3 linked regions of the Oryctolagus cuniculus genome follow. The protein of the gene in region 1 interacts with the protein of each later gene in a biochemical or structural test. Links are inferred from orthologs where the notes say so. Each region holds a gene or a part of one and is shown in the gene's direction. Other genes may lie near its edges. The genes, in order: LGALS3BP, LGALS1 and LGALS3.

Region 1 (7,428 bases):
GATGAGCGCAGAGGCCTGGCTGCGGCCATGGGCCGGGCGGGGGGACACGGAAGGCTCTGGGGCCGTCACAGCTCTGCTGGGTGGTGGGCTAAGCGGGGGGAGAGTCCCCGGGAAGCTGGCTGTGCAGGGGGAGGGAGGTGATGGGTGGGGCTGCCACCCCACGGGGCGCCCAGGGTGCGCGGTGTGCAGCGCGCTGCCGTGGCTGCGGTGGCCCGGGCCGGGGGAGCTCAGCCCCGCGTCCGCCGCCCGTGCCCGCCCAGGCTACCTCATCCACGAGTCGGCGTGCTGGAGCGACACGCTGCAGCGCTGGGTCTTCCTGCCCCGCCGGGCCAGCCACGAGCGCTACAGCGAGCAGGACGACGAGCGCAGGGGCACCAACCTCCTCCTGAGCGCCGCCCCCGACTTCAGCGACATCTCCGTCAGCCACGTGGGCCGCGTGGTCCCCACGCACGGCTTCTCGTCCTTCAAGTTCATCCCCAACACCGACGACCAGATCATCGTGGCCCTCAAGTCCGAGGAGGACAGCGGCAGAGTCGCCAGCTACGTCATGGCTTTCACGCTGGACGGCCGCTTCCTCCTGCCGGAGACCAAGATCGGGACCGTCAAGTACGAAGGGATCGAATTCATCTAAGGGAGAGGCCCGGGGCAGGCAGGGCTGGGCCGGCGCGGGCGGCATCCGACTCGGATCTGGTAAACGCCGGAGGGCTCGTCGGCTGCGTTGGGTTTGTTCCCCTCCCAGGGCTCCGAGGTTGGGCCTGCGTGAACGTCACCAAACCCAGAGAAGCAGCCCCGAGCTGGGGACGGGGCCTGAGGGCGGCTCTGCGCTGCCCCTGCTGGTGGACGTGGGTCACGGCAGGCATCGGGATTCTGGGGCTCTGGCTGACCTCTCTTTTCCCGCCCGGAGCCCCGCGCAGTGTGCGTGTGGTGCCCGACCAGGAAGAGCAAAGAGTGGGAGGTGGGCCAGGTGTGGGAGGGCCTGGCTCTGCGTGGAGGGCATGCCCACACGGCTGTGGGAGCCGGCCCGGGGCCCCTCCCAAGCCTCACAGGGCCCAAGCCAGGAGAGCCCCGTGGCTGCCGGCCCCTCCGAGGGGGCACAGCCCAGCCACGGGAGCCAAGTGAGCGCTCACGTTTCCCTGTGGCCGTTCCAAGCCCGGGCCGTCGGACACGAAGGTGAAAGGGCGCCCTTCTCAGCGCTGGCACGTGCGCCTCGCTCCACTCCGACGGACGCCTGAGGCTTTCATTCCCGACTCCGTGGGCTCGACCCTGGCTGCCGTGCGGCCCGGGCCCCTCCTCTGGACACTCTTGGCCCAGACTGCGGCTTGCGGTCCCCCCGCGGGGTCTGGGGCAGAGGTCAGGCGCTGCCTGAGCTGGGAAGGCCGTCTCCGTGCCACGCCGTGGCCTGGCTGCTGCTGGGCCGCTCCCTGCACGCCTCTTCCACCGAGACCCCAGGGCAGCCGCCAGCGCGGGAGCGGAGGCGCCGCGGCCCCAGGACCCAGCGTCCCCTGCGGGCCCTGTGACCACCACGCAGCCTGGCTCTGGAGGCCCCAGGGCGGGCCTGTTGTGTTTTGTAAACAATAAAGCCACAGAGGGGAACTGTGTTCTTCCTGCCTCCTGGTCTCCCTTGACTCTTCAGCGGGGTCTGCCCTGGGGAGCACCCAGCCTGGTGGAGTGGGAGGGGCTGGGGACGGGCTGCTCCCCCACGGGACACCTGTCAGGAAGGCCTTGGTCGCACAGGCCTGAGGCGGGAGGAGGCTGGCTCTGGGCACCCTGCAGCTCCGTGTAGAAGTCACTGCTCTGCCGGTCCACTTCCTCCCGCGTGGACCAGAGCGGTCTCAGCTTCCCGCCCGTGGCCCATCCAGGTGGGGGTCGGCGCCTCGCCGCGCGTGTGCCCAGGCCTCGAGGGCGGCTTGGGCGGAGTCTGACCCAAGCCTGCCTGGCGCTTGGCAGAGAGCCTTGGCCTTGGAGACAGAAGTGGCGGTGAGGGGTTCTGCCTCCAGCTGTGGCCGTCCAGGCCTGCGGGCCCCCGGGGGCTCAGATGAACCAAGCAGGGGAACAGCCACGGGTCCCACCCAGCGGCTCCCAGAGCTGCCACGTGCTGACAGGGCCCCTGCCTGCCCCCGCCCCCTGGGAGTGCGTGCAGCTCCAGGTGGTTCTGTTCGGGGCCCTCATCTGGGCCCATGGGACGCAGGAACAGAAGCCAGAGATAGGGGGCCAGCATTTTGGCTCAGCTGGTGAAGCCGCCACCCATGAGGCCGGCATCCCATGTGAGTGCCAGTTCGAGTCCCGGCTGCTCCACTTCTGATCCAGCTCTCTGCTGTGGCCTGGGAAAGCAGTGGAAGATGGCCCAATCCTGGGCCCCTGCACCCGCATAGGATACCGGAGAATGCTCCTGGCTCCTGCTTTAGATCAGCTCAGCTCTGGCCATTGTGGTCGTTTGGGGGAGTGAACCAATAGATGGAAGACCTCTGTCTCTCTCCCTCTCTGTCTCTCCCTCTTTGCCTTTCAAATAAATAAATCTTTTTAAGAAAAGAAACCAGAGGTGATGTTGATCGGGTCACTGGGCCGCTGGGCCCAGGACCTCACACCCAGCGTGGTGGCTCAGGGCGCCATCCCCTGAGAGGACGCTGCTCCCGCTGGGCTGTCTGGGCGCACAGCCCTCCCCGACACCATCCCTGCGGCCAAGGGCGCCCTGGGACCTCGCAGCTGGGGATGGAGGCGGGGGGGGGTGGTGTGTGCTGGGCGGGGCCATTCGTGTTCCCGTTAGGGGAGTGACCGCTCTGCAGTGTGGGTGGTCAGCCCAGCGTGGACAAGGCCAGGCCCTGGTGTCAGGTACTGGGGCAGCTCCAGCTCAGCCACGTGCCGGCCGCTTTCCTGGTCTCCCAGGGCTCAGGGCCCCCTGCCCGACTGCCTGCGGGGGTCAGTGCCCTGCAGCCTGGCGGGGTGTGGGCTGCCCACCCAGCCAGCAACGTGCTGGGCCCAACCCTGCCAGGACACAGCGCTGCCGTCTGCCCCAGGGCCTCTGCTCCGCTGTCCCAGGCTGGCCTTCGTGTTGTGGTCCTGCCCCTCGCTGTAGGTCTTGTTGTCAGAACTTGGGTGGCTGCCATCCCCACCCCCACAGCCAGAGCAGGAAGGAAGAGGGGGCCTGGCCAGCAGAGCTGCAGCCAACCCCAGCGGAGGCTGCAGTCAGGTGGTTTGTGGGAATCGAAAGTCGTCCCTGTTCCCTGGAGCACTTCCTGGGGCCGCCCCTCCACACTGCAGGCTGGGCCTCCAGCAGAGGCGGGAGCCTCCCGCACAGCCACCTGTGCCAGGCAGGTAAGCCCCTGTCTACGCAGGCAGCCAGCGTGGGCCACACTGCAGGCACCGGGCCTGGAGCAGGGCGCCCCGGGCTCCCGAGTCCAGGGACCACCCCCGCCGCGCCTGGGCCCGCAGGGCCTCTGTGTGTGGTTGTTCCCTGCACAGGGACCCGGCCGAGGCAGGAGGGGCCAGCGTTGAGCCCTCAGCCCTGTCTTGGGCCTGCGCGTCCCCGCCCGGGCCTGGCCCCAAGGCCTTGTTCTCACCTGCACGACAGCACCGCACGGAGGGCGGCGGCCACGTGCCAGGGCCTCGCGTGGCCCCCATGTCCGGGGCCCTGACTTCCTGTCCCCAAGGGAACAAAGCCGGCCCTGCAGCTCCCTGGGAAGTGGGGCAGGGACAGCAGGTGGCCCTGGCCCTCCTGCCCGTGAAGGGCGCGCGGAGCCCTTGGCTTCCCTGGACAGCAGCCCCTGCACGGTCGTTGGGGCCAGGACAGCTACTGTGCGAGGGGCCCTGGGTGACCACGTAGTGCGGGCAGCCACGCCGGGCCCCCCACAGACTGCTGCACTGGGTCCCAGCGCTCGCGCAGCAGTGAGGAGCCGGGCCTGCCTGGCGGGTGTCCAGGCCCCCGCTTGTAGCCAGTGCTGCTAGTGGCCACCGCGGGTGTCCCAGAGAAGCAAACGCTGGCTCTGCCGGGGGCAGCAGGGCGGGCGGGGACGGGGGTGGGAGGTGCCCTGGGGAGGACCCCACGGCCTCTCCCAGCCTGTGTGTCCTGGGGACCGGAGCCGAAGTCCACGTCGTCCCCCTCTGGCCTCCCCCCAAGGGGCTCTCAGACACGCCCGTCTCCCACGGAGCTGCAGGGAGAACCCGCCAGGCAGGGACTCCCTCCCCCTCCTCCCCGACCCGAGCCCAGCCTCTCTGGGGCCCGGATTTCACTCCTGTCGGAGCCCCTGCCCTGCCTCTCACCTCCCTTCCCCTCTGCCCGCCTTGGGTGCCTCTGGGGCTCTGCCGCGCCCTGGGCCCCCGGCTGCGCCTCCCCCTCCCTCGCCCCTGCCTCTGGCCCAGGCTCACTCTGCCTGCAGCCCAGGCACAGCCCCCCCCAGGCATCCATGGCACAGGTCGCCTTCTTGTTCATCATGGGGAGATCTCGGGGGGGGGTTGCGGGAGGGGGTCCCTGTGTGCCCCGCAGCGGAGTGGAGGACGGGTCGGGGTGCGGGCTCACGCCGCTTCCTTCTGCTGCAGGGTCAGGGCTCCAGGGAGGCCATGGCCCCCCCACGGCTCTTCTGGGTGTGGCTGCTGCTCGCCGGGACTCGAGGTGAGCTGAGCCCGGGAGGTGCCCAGGGCCGAAGTCCACGCGCCTGCTGCCGCCCTGCCCCGCGGGGTCAGGGTCGGGGTTGGGGTCGGGGTGGGCCCCTCCTCCGGAGAGCTGGGAGGTGCTGGCCAGGTCTCTCCTGCCTCAAGCCAGGCGGTACCCAATGAGGGTGGCTTGTGTCTTCCGGGGACCCCGGGTTCTGGCTTTGGGGGGATGGGGAGGGGACCCAGGAACTCTGTCCCCAGTGGGGATGGGGGCAAGCACATAGGCCGGTGGCGGGGGTGGTCGTGAGGCCAGCAGCCTCTGGACACAGGCCAGGCCTCCAAGGGTCCTGGACACCTCCCTCCCCCTCCCCCTCGCCAGTCCTGGAGCCCATGGACGCCCCTGCTCGGCTGCCCTCGAGGGCCCCCACCCAGTCCTCTCTGGGGTCCTGCCCCTCTTGTCCAGTGCTGGAGAGCACCGGTTCCTCGTCCGTGTCCCTGTCCCTGTCCTCAGCTCCGGCCACGCGGACCAGGGAGACAAGTCAGCCTCGCGGGCTGGGGGCGGGGTCTGCACGGGTGTCACCCAGCCAGGGTGGAGGGCGCTTTGACGTGAGGGACCGGCCAGCCTGACCGGGGAAGCCCTTACAACCGCCGCGCTGCTGGGTGGGCGCCGCGTCCAGCTGACCTTTGCCCTCTCCGCAGGCGAGAAGGACGGGGACATGCGGCTGGCCAACGGGGACGCAGCCAACGAGGGCCGCGTGGAGATCTTCTACAGGGGCCAGTGGGGGACCGTGTGCGACAACCTCTGGGACCTGACGGACGCCAGCGTCGTCTGCCGGGCCCTGGGGTTCCAGAATGCCACCGAGGCTCTGGGCAGAGCCGCCTTCGGGCCAGGTGGGGCTGCCCATGCCCAGCACTGAGACAGGCCCGCTGCAAGGCCTCTGGGCCTGTTCCCTCTGGCCGCTCCGTGCTGGGCCAGTCCCCTCTGGGCCTGATCCTGAACCGTTCCCTCCCGAGGAGAATCTGTGGGCAGGAAGTGCCCGCTCCCCGCTGACTGAGTCTGGAAAAAAAGGGGAAAAACCCAAATTCGCAGCGGCGGGGCCCACAGCGTGAGCCAAGCCCAGGTGTTGGCCGTAAGAGATCCAAACCCACGCTGGACCGGCACCGTGGAATAGCCCGGTCCGAGGCCTGCATACAGGGGACGCACGCTGCAGAGGCGCGGGAACCCCAAAAACCAGCCCCCCGTTTTCTGAAAAGTCTCCTCCAGGGCAGGTGTGTGGGTCCGTGGATCAAGCTGCATCCCAGCCCGAGTGCCGCCCCGCCCCCGTCCAGTCCAGCTTGCAGCAGGTGACGGCCCACGTACCCAGGTTCCTGCCACCCTGTGGGAGACGCAGTGGGCGCTCCTGGCCCTTCGGCCTGGCCCAGTCCCGGCTGTTGCTGCCATTTGGGGAACGAACGGGAGGTTTCTCCATCTCAAATAAATAATACTTGAGCATTTTTTCAAGTGAGCGACAGAGGGAGCTCCCGTTTGCTGGTTCCGTCCCCAAATGCCCGAAATCTCTGGGCCAGGGCTGGAGCCGGAGGCCAGGAGACAATCCAGGCTTCCGTGTGCGTAGCCCGAGCCATCGCTGCTGCCTGCACGGGCTGCGTTGACAAGCAGCTGCCGCCCCGGCCACGGGCCCGGCGCCTGCTCACGCCCCGGCCCTGTCCACTTTGCTGCGCCGACAGGAACAGGCCCCGTGATGCTGGACGAGGTCGTGTGCACAGGGACGGAGTCCTCGCTGGCAGAATGCAGGTCCCTGGGCTGGCTGAAGAGCAACTGCAGGCACGCGCAGGACGCGGGCGTGGTCTGCACCAACGGTGCGTGTGCGCCCTCCAGCCCGGGGCCCCGGGGTGCTGCCCACCCACAGCCCACGAGGGGCCGGGCGGTTGGGAACCGCACCTGCTCCACAGTCCCTCCCGGACGCCACGACGGCTGACGGTGGCGTCAGCTCGCGGTCTGAGACCACGACAGCTCTCGCACTTGCTGGGTCAGCACTGGGGCCTGTCCGTTTCCCGGGGCGCAGAGGCCAGGACAGCCAGCGATGCCCCCCAGGCCCCCCACCCCCGCTCTGATTGGCCCCCCGCGGCTCTGCATGCGTGAGCCCCGGGCAAAGGTCTGCCGTGGTTCGCTCCTCCCTCTGTTCCGATGATTGATTGACTGATGGCTGTGGGGCTTGGAGGTTGGCGCCACCCAATCCGCCCCCCGCCCCCCGCCCCCCGCCCCCGCAGCTGCTGCCTGGGCCTGGGGGCGCAGAGCTGGGCAGAGGGCCCAACACAGAGCTGCAGGAGGCAGCCGGGGCCTCAGCTGCCCTCACTGGCTGGGTGCGGAGTGGGGGTGGGGGGAGGCAGCCACGTCGGGTCTTCCGGGGTCAGAGTGCACCCAGGCGTGTCCCCCCCTCACGCTCTGGCTGGGTGCAGGGTGGGGGTGGGGGGAGGCAGCCACGCCCCCTCACGCTCGCCTCCTTCGGCCCCTGCAGAAACCAGAAGCACGCACACCCTCGACCTCTCCGGGGAGCTCTCAGATGCCCTGGGTCAGATCTTCGACAGCCAGCGGGGCTGCGACCTGTTCCTCCAGGTGACAGGGCAGGAGGAGCGCCTGTGTGCCCACACGCTGATCCTGACCGCCAACCCCGAGGCGCAGGCCCTGTGGGCGGAGCCGGGCAGCAACATCACCTTGACCGTGGACCCCGAGTGCGTGCCTGTGGTCAGAGCCTTCGTCAGGTGAGGGCGCGGGTGACAGCCGCGCACACACACGCGTGTGCACACACACACGCACACGCACCCGCCTCGGCACTCTCACAG
Region 2 (7,638 bases), on another chromosome or scaffold:
TGGCACCCAATATGGGCGCTGGTTCAAGTCTCGGCTGCTCCACTTCTGATCCAGCTCTCTGCTATGGCCTGGGACAGTAGTACATGATGGCCCAAGTCCTTGGGCCCCTGCACCCACATGAGAGACCTGGAAGAAGCTCCTGGCTCCTGGCTTCGGATTGGAGCAGCTCACACTGTTGCGGCCATTTATGGAGTGAACCAGTGGATGGAAGACCTCTCTCTCTCTCTCTCTCTCCCTCTCTCTCCCTCTCCTTTCTCTGTGCAACTCTGACTTTCAAATAAATCTTAAAAAAAAAAAACAGACTGTTTTCAGATATTTACTGACATATCTATATATATTATATATAAAGCTTATTTGTTAACAGAGGATGGTATCTTTGGTATTAATGCTTACTTTCTGGAAAATGCCATAAACAATATTTTCAAAATTGCAGGCGATCTTATCACACATGAACTTTTCTTGCGAGATCTGTTCCTCTCAAAGCCTCGGTGCCTTCCTCACACTTCCTGCCGCTTGCTGAAATCTTCAGGCACTTCTGCCCCACCTTTCCCTTCCAATCTCGGATGCACCAGGCATTCTCCTTAGGACAGAAAATTCTTACCAGCACTGCCCTTTCTTTATCCAAACATTTTCTTTTCTTAACCTCTTGCCAAGAGTACATTTTCATGCTTATAACTTTTTTTATTTTTATCTCCCTTATCTCCTGATTTCAACTTACATTTTGTAATGACTCTTGAAATTTCCGAATTGGGGCCAACATTGCAGTGTAACCGCCACCTGCAGCACCGGCATCCCGTATGGGCACCGGTTCGAGTCCTGGCTGCTCCACTTCCAATCCAGCTCTCTGCTGTGGCCTGGGAAGGTAGTGGAAGATGGTCCAAGTCCTTAGGCCCCTGCACCTGCGTGGGAGACCAGGAGGAAACACCTGGCTCCTGGCTTCAGAGCCGTTGCGGTCATTTGGGGAGTGAAATAGTGGATGGAAGACCTCTCTCTCTCTGTCTCTACCTCTCTCTGTAACTCTGTCTTTCAAATAAATAAAATAAATCTTAAAAAAAAAAAAAAAGACATCACGATTTCTCCTCTCCAGTTTACAGAAGGGGAGACTGAGGCAAGCCCAAAGGGACGCATCAGGATGTCCTAGGGGTGCCCAGGAGGGCCTCTCTGGGGACCCAGGTGCCACACAGTGCCGCCTCCTGCCAGCCTGGGCCCACCAGACAGGGGCACGGTGGTCCCTCCGTTTGGTGGCTAACACTTGCGGTACTGGACGCATTTTCTAGGTTGGGGGAAGGATGCAGGAGCAGTTCCCCCAGCCCTGAGGCCTGGTCCCCCTCTGCATCTCAGCTTCGGTGGCCAGACCCTGCCTGAAAAGCCCCCTTTCCCCCTTGGGCAGTGAGGGGACTCCCAGGGGAAGGCCTGGGGCTGGGCAGGCCACGCCCACCCCTGAGCGGACTGAGGTTTGGGGAGGCCAGAAAGGAAAGAGTGAAACCACTGCGGTTGGTTTTGGAGGGAGCTGCTTGTCTGGGAGGAGGGCGAAGGGGCTCCAGGCACAGCCCAGCCCTGCACACTCCTCTCCCAGGGGCACAAGGGCTGGGCTGGCCCGAGGGCAGGGCTGGGCGGCTGAGGGACTGGCCTTCAGTGAGTCACTGAGAGCCGCATCGTCCTCCCTCCGGCGCCAGCTGCTGCGGGCGGTGATGGTCGGATGGGGAAGGGGGTGCCCAGGATGGCTCCCTGGGGGTTCCCTCACCTTGCCCAGCGCTCCCTGCCCTCTGTGCACCTGCCTCCTGATGTGAGAGGAGCGCCCTCCCACCAGCCTCGCCTCTGCTGCTACAGGGATCTCTGCAGCCCCAGTCGGGCCTCAGCACTCACTATTCTAGAACCTTCTGTGGCTGCCCGGCACCTTGGACTGTGTCCAAGCCCTTCCTCTGGCCTGTGAAGCCTGTACAATCTGGATTCCCGGCCTAGTCCCCCAAGCCTCCCCCTGCAGGGCCACGTGCCCACTGCTGCTCCCACCCCTGCGCTCTCATTCCTGAGCTCCTGCGCACCTGCAGAGACCCACCTTCTCCACGGCCTGCGGCGTCTCCATCCCACCACAGGGCTTGCTGTGACTGTGCCGCTTCTTCTTCTTCTTCTTTTTTTTTTTTTCTTTTTGACAGGCAGAGTGGACAGTGAGAGAGAGAGAGAGACAGAGAGAAAGGTCTTCCTTTGCCGTTGGTTCACCCTCCAATGGCCGCCGCAGCCGGCGCACCGCGCTGATCCAATGGCAGGAGCCAGGTGCCTCTCCTGGTCTCCCATAGGGTGCAGGGCCCAAGCACCTGGGCCATCCTCCACTGCACTCCCGGGCCACAGCAGAGAGCTGGCCTGGAAGAGGGGCAACCGGGACAGAATCCGGCGCCCTGACCGGGACTAGAACCCGGTGTGCCGGCGCCGCAAGGCGGAGGATTAGCCTGTTGAGCTGCGGTGCCGGCCCGGTGCCGCTTCTTAATCAGGTTCCCGGTTGGTGTCCCCCAACCGTGGGCTCCTTGGGAACAGGGACAGTGAGGGAGTCGTCTCCGGAGGTCCTGAGGCCAGCCCAGGGCCAGGCATGTGGGAGCTACAGCGCAGAATAGCTGCTGAATGCACGGGCAAAGGGGGGAGTGAAGAGAGCAGACTGGGTGCCCAGAGCAGGGGCCCCAACCCCTCACGGCCGGGCCCACCGGGCTGCTCCCCAGGCCGGGCACCCTCAGGCAGAGCTGTCCGGCCGCGCACCTCCCAGAAGCACCGAGGCAGGAGCACCGGCTGGCAGGCTGGGGCCTGGCACCCCGCCCAGGCTTTTTTTAGACTCAGAGAAGAGCACAGCCCCACTTGTGGGGGGGCCCGGGCCTTGTGGTCCTGGGTCCCCATCCCTCTGCAGTGCCCACAGCCAGAGCCACGCCCTGACCCTGCCTGGGAGCAGCCCCCACCCCAGCCCAGCGCTGACTCCCTGGAGCCCCCTGCACACGCCCTCCCTCCCGCCCCTGCCTTCTCCAGACACGCGCTGGGCTCTGCCTGCTGGCCCCAGGCCCCCGTCCCATCAGCTCTTGGGCCCAGCTCAACTATTTTCCATTGGCTTCCCCCAGTCTCTGCCACAGCACAAATTTGGGGAGATTAGGGCGGGGCTGGAGGCAGAATAGGAGGTGGAGCTTGGGCCCCAGGGGCGTGGCTAAAAAGGGAGTTCCCCGCTCTGATTGGTACCCTTTGCTCCAGAACTGGCTTCAAAATTCCATGGACTCCACCCCTACCCCTGTTCTGACTTACAATTGGCTGAGCTGCCAGGGGGCGGGACTCAGACCAGGGTCCGGGTCACTTAAAAAAGGGTGAGAGCCATCAGGAGCCATCTCTCGGGCGGGGCCTTCCGGACAGCCGGTGCTGCAGTCTTGGGATCACCCATCGTCCCGCTTCAATCATGGCTGTGAGTGTGGGGCCCTCCTCCCAAAGTCCAGGGGAGAGTGTAGCGGAGCGGGGGCTGGGCTCTGGTCCCAGCTCTGTGGCCTTGGAGGACTGCCTTCTCTTTTCTGGGCCTCAGTGATCACATCTATAAAATGGGGGTGGGGACCATGGTCCCCCAAGGCCTTCTCTGGCTTAAGAATATTCTGGATCCTTTCAAGGTCTGACAGTTCTTCCTGCCAAGTCTGACTTTCTGTAGTTCTCTATGAAGTGGGAGTGGGAAGGGTGTGGCCGGGGCCAGGGCAGGGGGTGGGGGGTAGACTGGTGAGGCCCAGGCCACTGTTCCTCTCTTCCACCGCAAAGAGCCTCCTTCCCCTCCCCCCTGCAGCTGTCCCCAGTCACCCGACCAGCTCAGAATCCTCCTCTGCTCCAGAGACTTCTACAGAGTGGCCGGGACCTAAGAGAGGCTGCCCGGCTGGGGCCTTCCCTGGGTGAGGGGGGTGGGTGGTCCTGCCCAGCCTGGTCAGGTGGAGGCTGGGGGGGCCCCCACGTCACCCCGAGCTTGGAGGCCGAGGTGGGGAGGAGGCAGAAGCTTTCCCAGGCCCCCAGGGAAAGGGTTCTGATTGCTGGCAGAAGGAACCACTCACATCAGTTAACTCCCGCCCTCCTGCCCCCCGCGCCAGTGCCCGGCTGCCCGCAGTGGCTCGGCCGTGTTAACCCTGAGCCGGCCTGGCTGCAGCCCCGGCCTTGGCTGCTGTCCCTCCTGCACAGGGCCCTGGCCGCGCCTCTGTGGCCACCATGCCTCTGCAGACAGGGGCTGGAGAGGGTGGGGGTCGCTGCTGCAGCCTCAGGCCACTCCCTCTACATTCAGCGGGACCTACCCCACCAGGACCCCGCTCCTCTCCACCTTCTAAATGGGGTACAGAGCATAGCACCCTACCTCCCAGACCCCTTGTAACCCCAAATCCCCAAGCAGCATCTGGGTACAGATGCAAGCAGATCAGGCAGGGGATGGGGTCTTTCCCAGGTCCACAGGGAGACTCAGGGGCCAGAACTCACTGCTCTGCCCCACCCCCCAGGCTTCGTGCTGGTCTGCTCAGAGAAATCAAGCTGGGAAGGACCACCCTCACGCCCCCTACCACGGCAGCAGAGGCCACGGCCCCTAACGTGTCAGGGCGGCTTCTTGTCTCCGCAGGGTCTGGTGGCCAACAACCTGAAACTCCAGCCTGGGCAGAGCCTCCTGGTGCGTGGCGAGGTGGCCCCCAGCGCCAGTCGGTGAGGCTCGGAGGAGGGCGGCGGGCAGCAGGTGCAGGGCTCTGAGCTGAGGGTCCCGTCTGGGCGGGTACCGGGTTTGGGCGTGGCCGGCCAGAGCTTCGGCTCCTCCTGGCAGGGAGCGGGTTAACAGGCAGCTGCTGAGTGAGTCACTTCCTCCGCTGGGTCTGGCCCCTCCACCATTCTCCCCGAGTCTCTTAAATTAAAACAGCTGCAGACCTCCCGCCAGGCCCCGCCCCCTTCTCCCCACCCCGCAGCCAGCGTGGGGGCGGGGAGAGGGGATGAGGGGGCGTCCCCTCCGGCCTCCCAGAGGGCCCTCCTTCCTGCGGTGGCTGGCCGATGCTTCTGTCTTCTCTTGCCGCACGCCGTGTGACCCTGGACCCGTGAGCCATCTTCCGCCCTGAGCCTCGGTCCATCAGTAAGATGAGTGGGGGAGGTGCGGAGTGAGGAGGAAGTGAGTGCAGATGCTGTCGGGAGCCTCCGGTGTGAGTCGCCTCTGGTTCTTGCCCAGCGTGCAGAGGTGGGGCAGCATCATGCGTCCATTTGTCCCAGTGATTCTCTGCTGCTGTGTGGCGCTCTGTGCTGGGCGCCAGGGGTGACAGACAGGAACCTTCTGGAGGGGCTAGGACACAGTGTCTGCAGGAGTCGTGAGCTTTCAGCCCCGCAAGGCTCTAAGAGATGGGGCAGGCACTGTGGCGCAGTGGGTGGAGCCACCGCCCGTGATGCCAGCGCCCCATATGAGCGCCGGTTCGGGTCCTGACTTCTCCACTTCTGATCCCGTGCCCTGCTAATGCACCTGGCAAAGCAGCGGAGGATGGTCAAAAGTACCTGGGCCCCTGCCACGCAGGATGGAGTTCCTGGCTTTGGCCTGGCCAAGCCCGGGCTATTGCAGCCACTTGGGGAGTAAACCAGTGGATGGAAGATCTCTCTGTAACTCTGGCTTGCAAATAAATAAGTAGTTTTTTTTTCAAGGCCTTAAGACAGGGGCCAGAGTTGTGAAGCAGTGGGTGAAGCCATCGGCTGCGGCCCTGGCATCCCGTATGGGCACTGGTTCGAGTCCCAGCTGCTCCACTTCCGATCTGGCTCCCTGCTAATGGACTGGGAAAGCAGTGGAGGATGGCCCAAGTGCTTGGGGCCCTGCCGCCCATATGAGAGACCCAGAAAAAGCTCCTGGCTCCTGGCCCCAGCCATTGCGGCCATGTGGGGAGTTAATAATTGGATGGAAGATACCTCTGTGTGTGTGTGTCTCCCTCTCTCTCTGTAACTCTTTCAAATAAATATCTTAAAAAAAAAAAAAAAAGGTCAGTTTTCTGAGTGTGGGACTTTCTTTAAAAAAAAAAAAAAAGACCCTAGACAGCCTCCTGGGCAGCACCCACTGTACAGACGGAGAAACCGAGGCACAGCCTGTGAGGGGCCAGCTCCAGGTCACACAGGGCCAGAGAGAACACAGGATCAGTGAGCGTCCAGCTCGGCAGGCTCCGGGGGTACGAGGGGAGGGCTGCTCTGGGGGGGGGGCGGTGGAAGCCACGGCCTGCTGCAGTGCCTCAAGCCCTCCCCTCCCCCCAGCTTCATCGTGAACCTGGGCCAAGACATCGACAACCTGTGCCTGCACTTCAACCCCCGCTTCAACTCCCAAGGGGACACCAACACCATCGTGTGCAACAGCAAGGAGAAGGGCGTCTGGGGCGTGGAGCACCGCGAGAAGGCGTTTCCCTTCCAGCCGGGCAGCGTGGCCGAGGTGGGCGAGGGCTCTCCGGGGCGGGGCGGGGTGGGGGGCAGCCCCTCCCCTCTCTGAACCCCGCCCCCATCCGACCCCTCTCACTGCCCTCCCGCCCGCAGGTGACTTTCTCCTTTAACAAAGAGGATCTGCTCATCAAGCTCCCGGACGGGCACACGTTCAAGTTCCCCAACCGCCTCAACCTAGAGACCATCGACTACCTGCACACCAGTGACGACTTCAAGGTCAAGTGTATGACCATCGACTGACGCCTGCAGGCTCGCGGTTCTCAATAAAGGCAGCTGCCTCTGCACCCTGAACCCGCCTGTGCACACGCGCGCGCGTGTGTGTGTGTGTGTGTGTGTGTAAGGGGCATTCCCCCCACCCCGCGCCCAGCTGCCTCCTTCACTTTCAGTCACCCCCTCTGATACGTGGTACCCCTGGGCCACGTCAGAGGGGGCTCAGTGCTAACAGAGTGGGCCCCCTTCCCTGCCCTCACACTGCTCCCGGCCCAGTGGGCCCCAGCAAACAGCAGGTGCTCAAAAGATGCTCCCTAACAATGAAGCCAAGGAGGACAGAGGCCGAGGCAGCCTACTGCCCGCAGAGGGGACCAGGGCAGGCCAGAGCGAGGTGCAGGGAAGGAACCCGGGGCCTTGGGTCCGCTGCCTGTGCAAAGACCAGGGCAGAGGGGTGGGGCTGCCTGCTGGGTGGCCTGGTGCACATTTGCGCGCCTCTCTGAGCCTCGGTTTCTCACCAGCACACCAGCAGGGGTAACGTCCGTTCCCGTCACTGGGTGGCTGTGGATACTGAATGGGGTGTCTCATGAAGGCCAAGTTCAGTGCCCCAAGGGCCCGGTGCTGTGGGGTAGTGAGCTAAGCCTCCGCCTGCGGCACCAGCATCCCATGTAGGCCCCGGGTTATGTTCCGGCTGCTCCACTTCTGACCCAGCTGCCTGCGATGCACCTGGGAAAGCAGCGGAAGATGGCCCAAGTGCATGGGCCCCTGCACCCACGCGTGAGATCCAGAAGAAGCTCCTGGCTCCTGGCTTCGGCTGTTGTGCTCATTAGGGGAGTGAACCAGTGGATGGAAGACCTCTCTCTCTGTCTCTTTCTTTCTCTAACTCTGCCTTTCAAATAAATAAATCTTTTAAAAAAATCAAAAAGTTCAGTGCCCCAAACATGGTCCCTCCTGCACTATTGAGATGTTATCACTCCGATTTGCAGGGGAAGAGACAGGCTCTCGGGTGAT
Region 3 (6,876 bases), on another chromosome or scaffold:
ATGTCTGAGGACATTCTGGGTTGTCACAAGTTTGAGAGTGACATGCTGCTGATACCCTAGGTTTAAAGCCACAGCTGTGGGGAATGAACCCTCTGTGACGCCCAGCACAGTGGCCGACCCGAACATCAGTGGCACAAGGCTGAGAAAGGGCTTCTACGCAATGGGGACATTTAGCAAAGTCAGAATGCTTCTAGCATTATAGCTGGGTCTTTGCTGTGTTTCCCCAGCGATGCTCTCTGCCCACCTAGAAGTTCAAGGTTGCCTCCTGGTGTGCAAAGTGAGAGGCTTTATTTTCTTGGCCTAGGACATTTCATTCCTTTGCCTTTTCCATGACAGTTCCTCTCTCAGCTCCCTCCCATGGTAGCAGCGCAGTGTCTTGCTCAGTAGTGCAGCAGCCTTTGGGGAAAGGAGGCGCAAGCAGAGGAGCGGCCGGCTGGGGCTTTAGAAGGTCAAGTTCTGTAGCAAATACAGCGAATGGGTGGTGGAGCGAGCCCTGGGCGTCACGGTAACTTCCTTGTTAAGCTCACAGCAAGCAAGGGGGTCAAGGTCGTAACCTGGCTGCTTCCCTAAGGTCTAAAAATGAGATGTGCAAAAAACATTCACGCGCAATGTGTGGTTGTGAATACACAACAGGGAGATAGGATAAAATATCCAGTGTGTGTAAATGAATCACATGCTAAGTCCTAGGAGGGGCTTTATGTAATGTTTTATATTTGTAGGGCCTATCAAGTCATAATTTATTCTATCTCTTGGGGACAGTGTCATTTCCTAAAAGGACTGAGTAAATATCACCAGCGAACAAATCAAGGGACATGAGTCTCTGATTGGGTCAAGGTCCAGGGAACTTTGGCCACAGCACAATCTTGGGTTTAGAAAGAACTCACCCAGGACTCTGGGGGCAAAGTGCCCTCCTCCCTGCACTACCTGGGCCCTTGCAGCAGGAGCAGGGACAAGGGGACTTCAAAAAGTTCGTGGAAAATGGAATTCAAAGATAGCTTTATTTTGATGCAAAAAGTTTTGAGGTCCATGCATAGCTTTTGCATCATGCACATTTCCATGGACTTTTTGAAGATCCTCCCTCATATAGAGAGAGCACCTCGTGCTCTGGGAGGCTTGGCACAGGGGAGGGAGCAGCAGAGGGCAGAAATGATGTCTCAGCAGCAGTCCTCATGGCAGCTTCGGGCAGGACAACCCTCTTGCTTAGCTCCTACCCTCCCGTATTTCCCGTCACATTGGCTGACTTTTCCACCTTGGTTTGTTACACTGCCCGAGATTTTATTTGGAATAATAAGTACCTTTAAAAAAAAAAAAGGCACATCCAAATTGCACTTGGCTGTCATGGTTTCTTTCCAACACCACCTTGCCTTTTCCTCCTAGAAGGAAGCCCTCTGGGCTTGAATTCCCACCGCACCTGCTAATGGCCCTGATCTCTCAGTATTTCACGTTTCCACCTGAGTGGCCCTGTTGGCCTGTGAGTCCTCGCACCATCCTGATCGTAGCCTTCTCCTCGTCACACTCAGATAGCAGCCTGCACAGTGACTGGCCCAGGGCAGCACCACGGTGTGCAGCAAACAGGAACCTCTGGAGGTCATTGTCTTGGGTGTCTCAGTAGGAATCCACCCACACTGCAATTCTCCTAGAGCCCTGAAGGCGGCGTGCGAAGCAGGTGATCTTAACACACTAGAACCCTTTGGAAGGAGGGCCCGGAAGATGGCAGGAAGCAAGGTGACGGCGCCCGAGCGAAGCCACCGCTGTGTGCACTGTTCCCCTGGCAAAGGGGCAGACATGTTCCTCCTCCTTCCTTCTCCCTCTGTGCCTTTGACCTGTCACCCTCACGAGTCAGAAGGCGAGCCAGGGTGGCCCAGGTTGCCGTTTAGGAGTTAAATAGGGTTCCACAATCCTGCTGGCCCGGTGAGATGTTTCTGGCTCCTTGCCTGTGGATTGACTGCAGCTGTGCACATTGAAGGACCTCCGTGAGCTGCTTTAGGGTCAAATGCTCACCTGTCTTTTTTGTTTCCCTTGCAGGAAAATGGCGGATGGTTTTTCGGTGAGTGTCTTGTGTCTGTTTTCTTACCCTAACACCCATTTCCCATAGCCGCCACCAGACTCTTCCCCTTGGTCTCCCACCACGTGGCTGCCTCTGGGCCTGCTTTGGCCAGTGAGGGTGTCTAAGGTTCTGGAAGAAAAGCCAGGCAGAGAGAGGCCTGAGACTCACCAAGAGCAGCCCTTTCCCCGCAAAGGCCCAGGACAGAACAGGGCGGGTCCTGCTGGCCGGGGGACGTGGGGCGGGTGGTGTTTGCAGCCGCTCTTCTGCTGTTGATGACAAAGCCAGGGCTTGTCCGGGAGGAGCCAGCTCCTGACTTGAGTGCATCACCCAAATGCAGCCCTCCGTGCTCTGGGAGGCAAGCAGAAAGTGGAAAACACCATCCCATCAGCTGATTGTAGTTTGGGGAACTCAAAAGTATTAATAGGTGGGAAAAATGTATTGCTGGGAGTTTACCTTCTTCCACTTGTTACACCACATTTTTTTGTTTTCCAGAGAACTCTGTTTGTGTCTTTTTCCTGCCCTGCCATTGTTTATGTCTTTCTTTCCAGCTCAACGATGCCCTATCTGGGTCTGGACACCCCCCAAACCAAGGATGGCCTGGCCCATGGGGGAACCAGCCTGCTGGGCCAGGGGGCTACCCAGGGGCAGCCTATCCTGGGGCCTACCCTGGACATGCACCTGGAGCTTATCCCGGGCAAGCGCCTCCTGGCCCCTACCCTGGCCCAGGAGCACATGGAGCCTACCCTGGGCAGCCAGGTGGTCCTGGGGCCTACCCGTCTCCTGGACAGCCAAGTGGTGCTGGAGCTTACCCTGGCGCCAGCCCTTACAGCGCCTCTGCTGGACCACTGGTAAGGTGGAATTAGTCATTTCGTGTACTTGCTGAAGCGTTGTCTGCGGGCTTAGAGCCACAGCTGGGTGTTGGTGCAGTAGAGATCACTGCTCAGGGTGCATTTACTGTGTGTTCTGCACGCACAATGATGCGTGACGCACGTTTGATGGCATTGCCAGAGTTTTCCTATCAACCAAGTGAAGCGCGTAGTCACTACGAATAAGCTTGGTGGTTATTACGAATAAACCTGTGTGAGTACCTAGCATGTGCAGCAGCAGGTGTTAGGATGCTGTTGTTACCCTCGGCTTCCACCTGAGCAAACAGGTTGGGGGGACGCTCTTGGAGACGTATTCCAAAAGCTCATGGTAGTTGTGTGTTGGGGGGAAAAAACTATACATGGATTTCAAAGCTTTCAAGTACCGAAATAAATGTATCTTTTCATCCCATTTTCCCATGAGCTCTTTCAAGTCCCCTTGCTAACCGGCCCAGGGTCATTGTAGGAATGTGTGGGAAAGCCCAGGCAATCTGGTTGACAAACACTGCTGAAGATAATGTGGTGGCCCAAGGGTTGAATTTCCATTAAAAATACATTTGACAAGCGAATTCTAAACATAAAACACAGCTGAGGGGGCAGCGGGGTAGGGGGTGGTGGGGATCTGGAACATGGAAGTGTCAGAGCCTTCCCTTCCAGACCTGGAGTCTAGTCGGGAGGTACCGCATAAACACGAGGAAAGCACCGCACAACTTGCAGTAACGGGACCGGGCCTTGAGCCACATCGCGTGTTCTGTTTGTCCCAGCAAACACAGTTCTTAACTGCTGTGCACGTTCTCTCTTTCTTAGCCTGTGCCTTATGACCTGCCTCTGCCTGGAGGAGTCATGCCCCGCATGCTGATAACGATTGTGGGCACGGTGAAGCCCAATGCAAACAGGTAAAGAGGCAAAGCTAGCCAGCTGCATGCATTTGCTGCTGGGTTGTTTTATTTTTATGTAAAGTTTTATTTTTTTGAAATGTGAGGGGTGGAGGGAGAGAGAGATTTTCCATCTGCTAGTTCATTCCTCAAATGCCCACAGCAGTCAGGGCTGGGTCAGGCCAAAGTCAGTAGTTCAGCACTCTATCCAGATCTCCCAAGTGGGTGGCGGGGGCCCAAGCACTTGAGCTGCCCACCAGGATGCATTAGCGAGAAGCTGGGTCAGAAACGGAGTAGCTGATATGGGATGTGGATGTCTGGAGCAGTGGCTTGATCTGCTGTGCCAAAGTGGCCACGCCAGGCCTTGCTTTAAAGGCAGAACCTCAGCTGATTCTCGTGTTAGCTCGCTGGTGGCACGCTTGGAGAAACTCAGCAATCGGCTAGTTAGTCCTTTAACAGGGGACTTTGTGTTAACATCCAAGGACAGGAACAGGGTCAGAAAGTTAAAGCAGCACTTTCTTTGGTCCCACCTCCCATTATGGGATGTTCAACACTTCTATTACTGTGACTTTACAGCTTAGCAACAGGACACTGCCCATGAACTGCATGATCTCATTGTTTCTGTTAACCATGACAAAGCCCAGTATCCGATACTCTGGTTTTATGTACAGTTGCCCATAACAGGTATGGAAAGCACCCTGGCAAGGCAGTAGAGAGCGAATCATCATCTGTCATAAAATACAAAGTGTTCACAACCTGGTCCTAACCCTCTAGAAGGAAATCTTGAAGGATTTGCATGAGTGGAATCTGTAAAGAGGGTCTTACAGCTGAATGGGAATGGTATAACCAAAGACAGAGGCCAGAATAATGTAATACATATTGACTCACTGGCCTTTAGGTTTAGGGGAGTACATAGAATACTGGGCCTGGCATATTTCCAGTCTGAACCCATTCTGTTATGAACAAAATGTGCGCTTGATACAAATGTACAGCTTTAATCACTGTAGTAACTGTGGTCTTTGGTTTGAAACAGACTCGCTTTGGATTTCAAGAGAGGGAATGACGTTGCCTTCCACTTTAACCCCCGCTTCAATGAGAACAACAGGAGAGTCATTGTCTGCAACACAAAGGTGGATAACAACTGGGGAAGGGAAGAAAGGCAGACGACTTTCCCATTTGAAATTGGTAAACCATTCAAAGTAAGTAACTGCTGCTGCCATTCTGTTGGTAAAATGTATTTCTCATGGCGACTCGTGAGTCAGTGTACTTGACATGAAATTATTTTTAGCTTGTATTTATTTGATTCATTTTAAAGGCAGAGAGGGAGACACACAGAAAGAACGTGCTCCATCCATTGGTTCACCCCTTGAAAGCCCACAACAGCTTGCGCTGGGGCAGGCCAAAGTCAGGAAGAACCTGGAACCCACTTCAAGTGTGTGGCAGAGACCCAGCTACCTGAGCCATCATTGTTGCTTCCCAGGGTAGTGGAATTCGGAGCTGAGGTGGGACTTGAACCCAGAACCCCAGTATGGGATGCAGGTGTCCAAAGCAGCATCTTAACCCAATGTGCGAAACTCCTGCTTCCCACTGAGATGAATATTGACCACCTGTCCTGGGGCATCTAACCAGTCTGTCTCCTCACTACCATGCTGGGAACAGGCCAGGAGTGGCACACTCCCCAGTTCCTTTCAGTGGCCTTGTGATTATCACTGTCCCACCCCTCCGAGTTTATGTTTTTCTAGAAATAAAGTATATCATCTTTAATAAAAAAGTAGGATATCTATGGTACAGGTAAATTGAGACTTAGTTCCTTAAAAAACATAGTTGGCATGGCAACCAAAACAAAGCTTTAAAAAATTATAGATTGAATACGTATGCTTTATGGAAGATTTATAGATTTTTAAATTGACTGAGACATCTTCCCTCCCCATCCCCACCCTCACAGAGGTTGCAACCTGGTATCTCCTCGAGTATTTTCTGTTACCCACAACAATCTTTTTATTAAGTAGTGTTTCACCAAAACACATACTAGCTCCACAGCATTGGGCCTGGGTTGACTGCAGGGTGGCCGGCAGAACACACTGTGAGCTCCTAAGTGCAGGTACAGGGAGCTGCGTCTGCATTTTGTGGGCATCTTTCCTTCTCAGAGCACTGCCTGGACAGTATGTCATCATGTAGACATGTGCCCACTTAATCCTACAGATGAAACTTTGGAGGAAAGAAAACCTGCAAAAGCTTGTTTACTTCACTTTAAGTTTGTAATAACCATCATTATAAGTCTTTGCTTCCAATAAGGGTAATTTTCTTCAAAGAATACACATGTATAAAATTAGAGAAGATATTGCCAAATTGTGGCTTCCAAACAATGTGAGGATGAAAATTCACTAACTGTTCAAATAATGTGTTTTCTCTGCCCTGGTTTTTTTTATATATATATATATATATATATATAAACCAGGGCAGAGAAAACACATTATTTGAACAGTTAGTGAATATATATATATATTCACTATATATATATATTCACTATAATATATATATAAAAAACAACACTGGTTATTATTAATCTTTGTAACATTTGCAACTCTGTTAAGGGGTTCCTATTTTAGTGTTTTTGTAGGCTGTACAAAAACTTTTATTTACTGGAGAGTTAGAGAGAGAGATCTTCCATCTGCTGGTTCACTCCCCAAATAGCTGCAATGGTTCGGGCTGGGCCAGGCTGAAGTCAGGAGTCTGAAATTTCATCCCAGTCTCCCGACAGGGATGTAGGGGCCCAAGGACTCAGGCCAACCTTCACTGCTTTCCCAGCCACATTAGTAGGGAGCTGGTTGAGAAGTGGAACAGCCGGGACTGAAGCCAGCACCTGTTGTCCAATGGTGGCTTAACCTGCTGTGTCACAATGCTGAGCCCACTTTTGTGTTTATCAGTAAATTAGTAACCTTTTCCTTTATGGCTTCATTTTTATACCCTTCCAGTAATTTTGTTGCCTTTTTTGTTGTTTAAATCTGAATAACCTGGATTTTATTTTTTGCTATAAAATTACTTTCTGGAGATCTTCATCAGTTCCACAAATGACAATACAGATGAAATG

The links.
Region 2: the proteins of LGALS3BP (region 1) and LGALS1 form a complex in vitro, tested with the Homo sapiens proteins (2 studies listed by BioGRID). The link is inferred for Oryctolagus cuniculus from reciprocal best matches to the Homo sapiens genes LGALS3BP and LGALS1.
Region 3: the proteins of LGALS3BP (region 1) and LGALS3 form a complex in vitro, tested with the Homo sapiens proteins (4 studies listed by BioGRID). The link is inferred for Oryctolagus cuniculus from reciprocal best matches to the Homo sapiens genes LGALS3BP and LGALS3.

The regions. Positions count from the first base shown.
Region 1 is NC_091448.1:2,761,696-2,769,123, forward strand, and holds the start of LGALS3BP (galectin-3-binding protein), read left to right. Parts: upstream 1-3,158; 5' UTR 3,159-3,312; intron 3,313-4,533; 5' UTR 4,534-4,554; coding exon 4,555-4,606; intron 4,607-5,286; coding exon 5,287-5,478; intron 5,479-6,312; coding exon 6,313-6,444; intron 6,445-7,103; coding exon 7,104-7,347; intron 7,348-7,428. Other genes in the region: CANT1 (soluble calcium-activated nucleotidase 1), read left to right, coding at 261-631.
Region 2 is NC_091442.1:114,553,815-114,561,452, forward strand, and holds LGALS1 (galectin-1), read left to right. Parts: upstream 1-3,136; 5' UTR 3,137-3,421; coding exon 3,422-3,427; intron 3,428-4,597; coding exon 4,598-4,677; intron 4,678-6,240; coding exon 6,241-6,412; intron 6,413-6,513; coding exon 6,514-6,660; 3' UTR 6,661-6,711; downstream 6,712-7,638. UniProt on the Homo sapiens protein: Lectin that binds beta-galactoside and a wide array of complex carbohydrates. Plays a role in regulating apoptosis, cell proliferation and cell differentiation. Inhibits CD45 protein phosphatase activity and therefore the dephosphorylation of Lyn kinase.
Region 3 is NC_091443.1:21,357,604-21,364,479, reverse strand, and holds part of LGALS3 (galectin-3), read left to right. Parts: intron 1-2,025; 5' UTR 2,026-2,029; coding exon 2,030-2,047; intron 2,048-2,595; coding exon 2,596-2,895; intron 2,896-3,717; coding exon 3,718-3,806; intron 3,807-4,818; coding exon 4,819-4,984; intron 4,985-6,876. UniProt on the Homo sapiens protein: Galactose-specific lectin which binds IgE. May mediate with the alpha-3, beta-1 integrin the stimulation by CSPG4 of endothelial cells migration.